2 linked regions of the Mus musculus genome follow. The protein of the gene in region 2 purifies or fractionates together with the protein of the main gene of each other region. This does not show direct contact. Links are inferred from orthologs where the notes say so. Each region holds a gene or a part of one and is shown on either strand. Other genes may lie near its edges.

Evidence for each region.
Region 1: the proteins of Kbtbd8 (region 2) and Pkn1 purify together in Homo sapiens (affinity purification with western blotting; 3 studies listed by BioGRID and IntAct, with this or other methods). This does not show direct contact. The link is inferred for Mus musculus from reciprocal best matches to the Homo sapiens genes KBTBD8 and PKN1.

Annotation. Positions count from the first base shown.
Region 1 is NC_000074.6:83,696,214-83,700,790, forward strand, and holds the start of Pkn1 (serine/threonine-protein kinase N1), read right to left. Parts: upstream 2,967-4,577; 5' UTR 2,775-2,966; coding exon 2,754-2,774; intron 1-2,753. UniProt on the Homo sapiens protein: PKC-related serine/threonine-protein kinase involved in various processes such as regulation of the intermediate filaments of the actin cytoskeleton, cell migration, tumor cell invasion and transcription regulation.
Region 2 is NC_000072.6:95,116,204-95,120,688, reverse strand, and holds the start of Kbtbd8 (kelch repeat and BTB domain-containing protein 8), read right to left. Parts: upstream 2,810-4,485; 5' UTR 2,731-2,809; coding exon 2,715-2,730; intron 2,167-2,714; coding exon 1,956-2,166; intron 1-1,955. UniProt on the Homo sapiens protein: Substrate-specific adapter of a BCR (BTB-CUL3-RBX1) E3 ubiquitin ligase complex that acts as a regulator of neural crest specification.

The sequences.
Region 1 (4,577 bases), on a different chromosome or scaffold from region 2:
GTGGCTCTGTCTCATATAACCCATATGGCTCTGAATTTAATACATAGTGAAGGCTGGCCTTGAACTCCTGATCCTCCTGCTTCCTACTTGCCAGAGATAGGATTGTAACAGGCACCTTTGCACCTAGCACAGCAAGATGTAGATGCTAGAGATGATAAGACAGATAAGAGAGAAAGAGAGAGAGGGAGAGAGGGAGAGAGAGAGAGAGAGAGAGAGAGAGAGAGAGGAAGGAAGGAAGGACAGACGGATGGACAAACTAGCTGAGGCCCCCTGCTCCAGGTCCCACAGGCAGCAAGAGACAGAGCCAAGATTCACATTAGCTGGGAAGAATCCCACGTCCAGCACACCTAGAAGTAGTGAGCCATCACCATCACAATGAGCAATGTTCTCCTAGGCTCTTAAGCCCTTCGGATGAGGCTGCAGGCCAAGAGCACAGATCCTGTGACCCTGTCATCTCCTCACTGTGTATCTGAGCAGTAGTCACCATAGGGGGAAACCGATGCTCAAAGAGGCCATAGCTGTGCTCTCAGTGAAGGTAGGGTCGTCTTCTCATCGCCTTGAGAAACGCATGTCAATGTCTGGGGTCATTCTTGTTGTCATTACAACCAAAGTATACAGGGGACACCTATCCATGTCAACATTCCGAGGTACACAGGACAGCCCCACTACACAATGACCCCCACACAAGGCCATTGCTGGGGCCTTGGGAAGGGGTGTGGGTTCCCAGCCTAGACTGTCAAGCTCTATGTTCAAAGTAAAGGTGTCAGAGAAGCACAGAACTGGCTGAGGCTCCACCTCTCTCTGCATAGCCATCATCTCACCCTCACTCCCCCCACCTCCCCACCCCCACCCAGGGTTTTTCTGAGTTGCCCTGGCTGTCCTAGAACTCTATAGACCAGTCTGACCTCAAACTCAGAGATCCCCCTGCCTCTGCCTCCCAAGTCCTGGAATCAAAGGTGTGCACTACCACCACCAGACCCTCATACCATTCCTAACCCCATTGCCTCCTCCAAAACAGAAACAAGACTCTGTAAGGTAAAAGTGTTTGACCCAAGAACTCATTAGGGAAGGCAGCATTGGTATTTAAACCTGGCCTCACTGAACAATACTCTGTCATGACCAGGCCCCACCCACTGTCGCCCACCAGCGCCCCCAACCCAGCAGGCAAAGCAGGTACACAGCCAGGAGCAGGGCCAGCTCAAGCAAAGAGGAGAGGTGAAGGTCCTTGGCCCCACCTCCAGCAGAGAAGGCCTGGGAATGTGAAAAGCATGCAGGCAGGGAGGCAGGGCCTCCTGGGTCCTCCTCCTCGGTGACTCACTTCTGCCCAGGGACAAGGAGTCACTTGAGGGCAGCAGGGCAAACGCCTGGCCTGGTCTTGAGGAATTAGAAGGTCAGCTTCTCCACCTGCCATTACAGATCTGCAGACAGCAGACCAAGAACTGTCACCTTGGGGAAACCCTCTTGGCAAAGTGGCTAGGAACCCAAAACCCCACTTCCTGAGATTTCAATGCCTGGGGCGTTTCCAGAATCTAGACAGGACATCCGTTTGCCAGACACAGAACAGACAGGCACGGAGACGGTGGAACCAGGCAGCAAGTCCAAGCGGGAATGAACATAAGGGAGAAGACGGGACGGGGACCAAGATGTAGGTCCAGCCTCATTCTGGGAATCACAGCCTCCATGTGCGTCCTACTCGGGACACACCAAGCACATGCATGTACTGGGACAGCCCTGCACAGCCCTCAGTGGGCTTGAAGGGGAGCCGGCACCGGTGCATCAGCCTGGAGGTCTGACCTTGTGAGATCGGCAGCACCAGATACGCCCAGCTCCTCGGCAAGGCCGGCAGGCCATCAGCAGGACTGGGGAAGACGGGTACAGAAGGGTACAGGGGAGACATGGGGGCAGGTGTAGAAGGAGATGAGAACCAGTTACACAGGACAATGGACTGCATGGTGACGAATTAATGGAGCCACAAAGATACAAAGATCTCAGATTTTGGGCCACTGAATTAGAGTGGGGAGTCAGTCACCCCGACCCTGACCCTGCTTCAGTAACGCCCAACAGGTCACACAGGGAAGGCCATGTGGCTGGCAGATGCCAGTCACAGGTGTCTGTTGCGAGGGAGTAGAGACCCAGCCCTGTCACCTTCCAGACATAAAATCCTTCCTGTCTGTGTGACAGGACACGCCCCACCTGGGTTACAGCTCCATCTGTCAGCCTGAAGGGTGGTTATGGGGAACAAGGCGGAAGGAGGAACCCGGCCTCAGGCCTAGTGAAGTGACTTAGACACTTCCTCCAACAGGTGCCCATCTGGGTGGCGTCAAGACCATCGTAAAGACGTCTGCAGGCGGGGGTGGCCCGGGCTTTGTTGTGCGGGGGAGGGGATCGGGCCGGGCACTCCTCCGGTCCGGGGCAGGGTGCCAGGCACCTGCTCCAGGTGAAGCGGCACCTGACAGAAACCGAACGCTGCAGGACCCAGAGTAGGATGTGGGGACGACAGGCACCGGGATCCGCAGCTAGCCTCGGACACCGAAGTGGGGACCCCGCTACACACGCTGACTCTCGGGGAGGGCCAAAGGAGGGGATGCTGGGGTAGAATCCCGAACAGCACCCCTTCCTCCGACCCGGTCGGCGCCTCCACCTGCTACAAGGGCCCGCGCGGGCTCCCGATGGGGACCTCGTCCGGGACTCTACCCGTGCCTGGGGTCCTCCGCGCCTTCTGGCCGCCCCGCGGGTGCGGACAAGTCGCCTACCTGTACGGCGTCGCCGGCCATGTCCTCCGGCCGCCCGCCAGGGGTCCCAGCGCCAAGGAAGGGCTTGCGAGCGCGCGGGCGGGTGCGGCGGGAGGCGCGGCGCCCAGACCCTCCCAGGCGCGCGGCGCGCTCCGGCCTGCTGCGCTCGGCCCGGCCTGGCCAGGCCTCCGCCGAGCTGCGCCCTCCGGCCCCAGCGGCTGCAGGGTGGGTCACGTGAGCGCCGAGGTCCGCGCCTGGGGAGGAGGCGGGGCGGGGGCGGGGCTCCCGGCGGCCCCCGGGGCTTGCAGCGGGGAAATAGGGTCCCTGTTGGCTGTGGGGTGCGGCAAGCGCTCCTTGTAGCGTAGGGGACTCTGAGCGGGCCTAAGCGACCGCGAGCCTCAGAGGCCTTGTCCCCCGCCTCCAACCCCTTTGAATGCAATGGTCACCGTCCACCACCACCCTCGACACACACGGCCCAGCTGCACAGAGGCATCCTCCCTCCCGTTTCCCGGGAGGCAAACACAGGGAGAGCCTGACTTCAAATCCCAGTGTCCTGGGCCTTGGGGGAACACAATACCCCTCAGGACTAGGATGTCTGTAAAACTTGAGGAAGAGTAGGGCAAGTGTATAGATCCCAAGTGCACAATAAATGCCAGCAGTTGTCACTTTTAGCTCATTTTTTTAAAGACTTTATTTTGATTCATGTGTGTTAGGAATAAGTTTCGGGGTGGCAAAGAAAGAGACCATCCTTCAAAATGAAATGTCCGAACAAGGCAAACTTTACTCTTCATCAAGACAGTGCGCTGCGGAAAAGCAAAGAGAAGACAGGAAGTGCATATGGTTTCTATTCTAACTCAGGTGACCTCGCAGTCTTATTCAATTGGCTAGTCTGAGAAAATTGGCGCAGAGGAAATTGAAGGGGAAAGGGGTCACTGCTCCAAGCGATCAATTTCCTAGAATGGAGCGGGGGGGGGGGGGGCGCTTTGTATAAACAAAAGTTTTACTGGGTGAGGAGGATTAAAACATCTCCTTAAAAGTCCTATAAGGTAGGAGAGATAATGATTTTAATTACTGTCCAAAAGACTAATCTTATACTATTTGCTAGAAAAGACTCATATTTAATTTCTTGCATGTGTATATATGTGTTTCTTTGTGTGAGTTATGCACATGTGTGTGGGTGCCTCTGGAGGTCAGAAGAAGACATGGGATGCCCTAAAAGGAAGTTATAAACTGTTTGTGGACTGCACCACCTGGGTGCTGGGTCCAGACTTGAGTTTTCTACAAGAGTAGTATTGCTTCTATCTCTTCAACTCCTATTTTAATCTTTATACCATTTATTGAGTGTGTTCACGTGCATGTACCACACATGCCAAGCCAAATGTGTGGTGGCCAGTGAGTGACTTACAGGATGGCTTTTCTTCTGCACCCTATCATTTGGGGGGGGCACCCAAACTCATCTTCCTAAGCCCTGAACAGGCCCAATACTCCATCACTGAACTCTCAAGACTACAGTAGAGGCTTCCTTCCTTGTCCCCCAGCCGCCTCCTCCTTACAGTCTCTTCCCCAAACCGCATACCAACGGAGCCTAAAGTCTAGACATTTCCAGGAGGAGCCCACCAGGTCCTGTGTCACCTGCCGCCCTTGGTCACTTGCCACTCGCTGCTTCAGCAAGTTGACACCCTCATTATAGCTCAAATGTTGGTGGAGTGAGTTAAATAGCTTGCCACACTAGTCATCTAACTTCCTTTTTACAGATTGATAAAAGAGAGACGCCCCTTGCTTTCATAATAAAGCCAGGATGTTCATGGTCCCTTGCATATCAGGCAAGGAACCCACCCATCTTAC
Region 2 (4,485 bases):
GTTCCTGTACTTTACCTATTTATATCTACACAAAAAGTTATGGCAGGGTTAATATGCTTTTTTTTCTAAAGAGTTTAACATTTAACACATCACTGATTCTTTGGAAATTATTTTTAAATTCCCCAATGTCCAACCTTAAGACTGAGCTTCTTAGATGGGTGCAGTGGTGTATGATCGCACTTAGTGGAAGGCTGAAGTGCGGGGGCATCCTCAACAACAGTAAATTCTGAGTAGCCTAGGCATACACTTTTAAGACAGTTTGGTTTTTGTTCTTGTTTTAAGTGAGTATATTTTTGAATCTTCTTTCCCCAACACAGATAGAATACTTGGAGCTTTAAGTAGGACTTACTTGTAAACATCATTACCTTTCCTTAAGGTTTCATTCTAAAGAAACTTTTGTTGTTACTATGCTGAGACAAGGGCTTTTCATACAGCACTGATTGTCCTGAAACTATGTGGACTAGGCTGGCCTCAAACTCAGAGATTCCCCTGCTTCTGGCTCCCCACATGCTGGGATTAAAAGCATGCACTCCCATATCCATTCAATGTATTTATTTATTTACTTTTACTATTCAAAGGGAATATAGTTTTGTTTCATTAAAAAAAAAAACAGAAACTTGAATGGAGACCCACTTGATCCATTTTGTTAAGTGTCACACAATAAGAAGTCTAATTTTAGAATAAAATCTAGTTCTGCCATTTGAATGACTTAGATATCACTCATCTGGATCTTTTCATACACATATGGGCATAACTGTATAAGCACAAGATTATTAGGATTATTGAAGACAATACATATCAAGTAAGCTTCACTCAGAGTTTGGTAAGGAACAAGCGTGCCATATATTCAAATACACACATGACAAGCAGCAGTGGCTTCTAATGCCAAGCCAACCTGTGTTCTGGACATTTCATCTTTTTTCTTTCCAGCTTTCTATCCTGTAATAATTAATACTTGGTTCAATGACCTACCCCAGGCAAGTCTAAACGATTTTCAATATCAAAACTGATGTAACTGTATTTGACCCAGCATTCTGAGAAAGAGGGACCAGAAACTAATGAATGCAACATTACAGTGGGATGGATAAGCACCTTATAAGCACCTCAAAAGATAGAGCAAGAGTGTGGCTGACAAGATAGTCTTCCTATCATTCACGAACCACTTCTGTATGCTGAAGGGCTTTTAGAAGGAAGTACCTGAAACAAAACCGATTCCAATCATCTGTTCTTAGACTAAAAACTTAGTTTTCAGACTTGAGTTCAAATAAAACTTTCACTTTTCAACATTTTATGGCAAAAGGGACAAAAAGAGAGTTTAGAAAGCATGAACTATTTCTGGGAATCTTGGAAAGTAAGACATAAATAACCTGTATTTTATTTCACTACTCTTCACAAAACTCCATGGCATTAAAACAATCTTAAAATCCTAGTTTATTTATAAAGGAGCAAGTTCCTATGTTTTAAACTCAAAAAAAAAAAAAAAAAAAAAAAGTCCTATGTACTAAAAACCGGGGGTGGGGGGTGGGGAAACATCAGAAATATTTAAAATTCTAGATCATTTCAATGATTGATTGAAACACTGTATATCCCCGTTGCCCAGTACAGCAGCCACCAGCCACACTTAGTTGTCTGTGCACGTGACATGTTTTAGTGTCGCCACTGATTTTAATTTTAAAGCATTATAATTTTTTTCAAATGTGGCTGGCAGCATACATAGTATGAATACCTCACAAGTCCACTAACTTAAAATCCAACTATCTAAACTCTGGAATCCCACCTCAAAACAGGGGCTCATTAGTAAGACAAGCAAGACCTGTTACCTACTCTCAGAAAATAAACACCTGGTTTGCCTTTATGTATTTGTCCCAACTCAGTACCACAATCAAGTGGCTAACACTGGGTTGAAAGGGAGTCTTGTACGGATAGTAATATATAAGTTTCTACCGTCGTCATACCTGAAGTAGGGGCTGATTGCAGCAAGAACGTTTCTATGACAGGAAAATGTTTTCCCGTGATCCACTTCCACTACAATGTCTGTCAACTGTCCTTCATCGTACATTGTTTTGAGTTGCTTAAGAATACTGCAAGCATGGAAAGGATCCATGGTATCGTTGGCTGTGTCTGAAGATGGAATCCCATTCGGTGTTGGGGAAGACTTACTTAAATCTAGGAGAAAAATCGCACAACCACAAGAAGTTCGAAGCCAGTTTACGGCATCGTGGGTTTTTTTCCCCCCCACCCCGTACACAAACGTCCGTGTGTGGGCACAGGAGCGCCGACACAGGCTCTAGGAGCCGAGAGCTCAACAAGGGCGAACAAGTTCCCAGGCCGGCGCGCTCCTCCGGAGCCCGGCGAGCCCGGACCGCCGCGCTCGCGGAGGGAGCGTGTGAGGCGAGCCAGCCGAGCCGGCAGCGGCGGCGATGCGCGGGGACTCGGCTCCGGGTCGAGCGCGGGACGGAAGGCTCCCGAGGGCAGCGCGATCGAGGGCGACTGCCAGGGCACCCCTCAACCGCCTCGCGGGCGGCCGGTACCCAGACGCCCCATCTTCGCGGGCGCGCCGCCCACCGCCCTCCTCCCCATTCATCCTCGCCTCCGCGCCCGCCGTCTCTCCATCCTTCCCTCCCGCCTTAAGGCCGCCGCTTCAGGTTGTGGCCGGCGCCCGCGCTCCTGCTTCCCTCCTCCGACACTGCGGGCGGCCGCACCACGCCACCCACCTGCCGACGCGGCCATTACTACAGGGGCCCCGGCTCCGGTTATTTAAAGAGGAAATGTCATTGCGTTTCGCTCGCTCCCGGGTTCCGGCTCTGCTAAGCGTTGCCTAGCCAATGAGGGTGGCTGACCGAGTCGGCTCCTCCCCGAGCCTCAAAATACCTGGCTCTGATTGGTCAGTGCGCGATTACCAGCGCGTCGGGAAATGTAGTTTTAAGGCCCCCGTTCCCGCGTGCTCCTAGTCGGACAGAGGCCCAAGCCGAGCATTTCTATTGGCTAGCTGGGCGGAGGAGCGCCCCGAGCCCGCCAGCCTGTGCCTTGAGATGCACAGCGCCCGCTGGGAAATGTAGTCATCTGGCTGAGGCGAACTGTCACTCTGAGGAGTGAGGTAGGAAAAGCTCTTATTGAGCAAATTTCCCCGGCAAGGGCCTCTCTCCTAGTCTCGACTCCACTTTAAAAATAATTGTCTTCATACCCCAAATTCCCTATCCGTGACTAGATTCTGGTATGAAAACGCGCTCTGCACGAGGGCTATGAAACTCCGAAAAGTTGGAAATGGTCAGGAGGGCTGTTATCCAAAAATACAAAGGATATAAGACAACCCCCCCCCCCCCAACACACACACACACACCATCGATAGGTCTCTGATGAGTCACCTGTAACGCCCACTTGAAATTGCATCCCCTTAGCCACATGCCCCGCTTTTCACAGATCAACTGGGTCTGGTTACATGGCCACTCAGGACCTGAATCCACTTGGCTTGCATTTCTAGCACACCAGGAAACACCTGTCACACCGAAGAGCGCTCGAGTACTCAAGGGAGACTCGGATAATTGATTTCCCCTGGGCTTCTTGAACGTGAAGAGGGCCTCCGGCTTTCCTGTGAAGAGATGCTGGAGAGAGGCTGAGCCTGGCGCTCCTCTGGACCGTGCTCAACCCTGGCTCTTGCACAAGCTCTTCCAGCCCTTGAACCTCTCTTATAACAGCGAGCACTCGGCATTCAGTCTACTTCATAGTTTTTTGCAAGAAAGCAGGGGTTTTATTGTTGACCTATTTTTTTTTCTTCTCCTATTGTGTGTGTGTGTGTGTGTGTGTGTCTGTCTGTCTGTCTGTCTGTCTGAGTCTCTGTGTGTGTGCATTTGTATCTGTGGTTTGGTGTTTTGTTTTGTTTTGTTTTGTTTGCACGAGTGGATGTACATGTTGGGGGGCGGTGCAGGTGCACGTGGAGGCCGGAGATTGGTGTCAGAAATCCTACAACGCTGCTTTTCTACCTTATACAGTGAAGCATGGTCTCTCAATCGAAACCCAGAGATATTAACTCTCTCTCTCTCTCTCTCTCTCTCTCTCTCTCTCTCTCTCTCTCTCTCTCTCTCTCTCGGCATGGCAAGCACTTTAATCACGGAGCCATCTCCCCAGCCACCTTGTTATCTATTCTGATTTCCTCATCCTGTTTCTGGCATCTAACAGGATGCTCTGACAAGTTGTAGAAACTTAAAAGATGAATGGAAAGCGAAGTGAACAAATACTTGCAGATACCCCTTTATCAGTGAATGGGAAGGAAGCTTCAGTAGAGACTTAGTTCACAGTAGTAACTTTCCTAGCATTAGGTCAAGCAGTTGAATATTTTATTATTTTTTATTTATGTATTTAGTATATTGCTGTAAATTGAACCACAGGCACCATGCATGCACACTACCAGCTCCCAGGGAGCCTCATCACCAACTCCAGGTGACCTTGTTAAAGGGGTCTTGAAATTTTACCTGTGACTGATAGAGT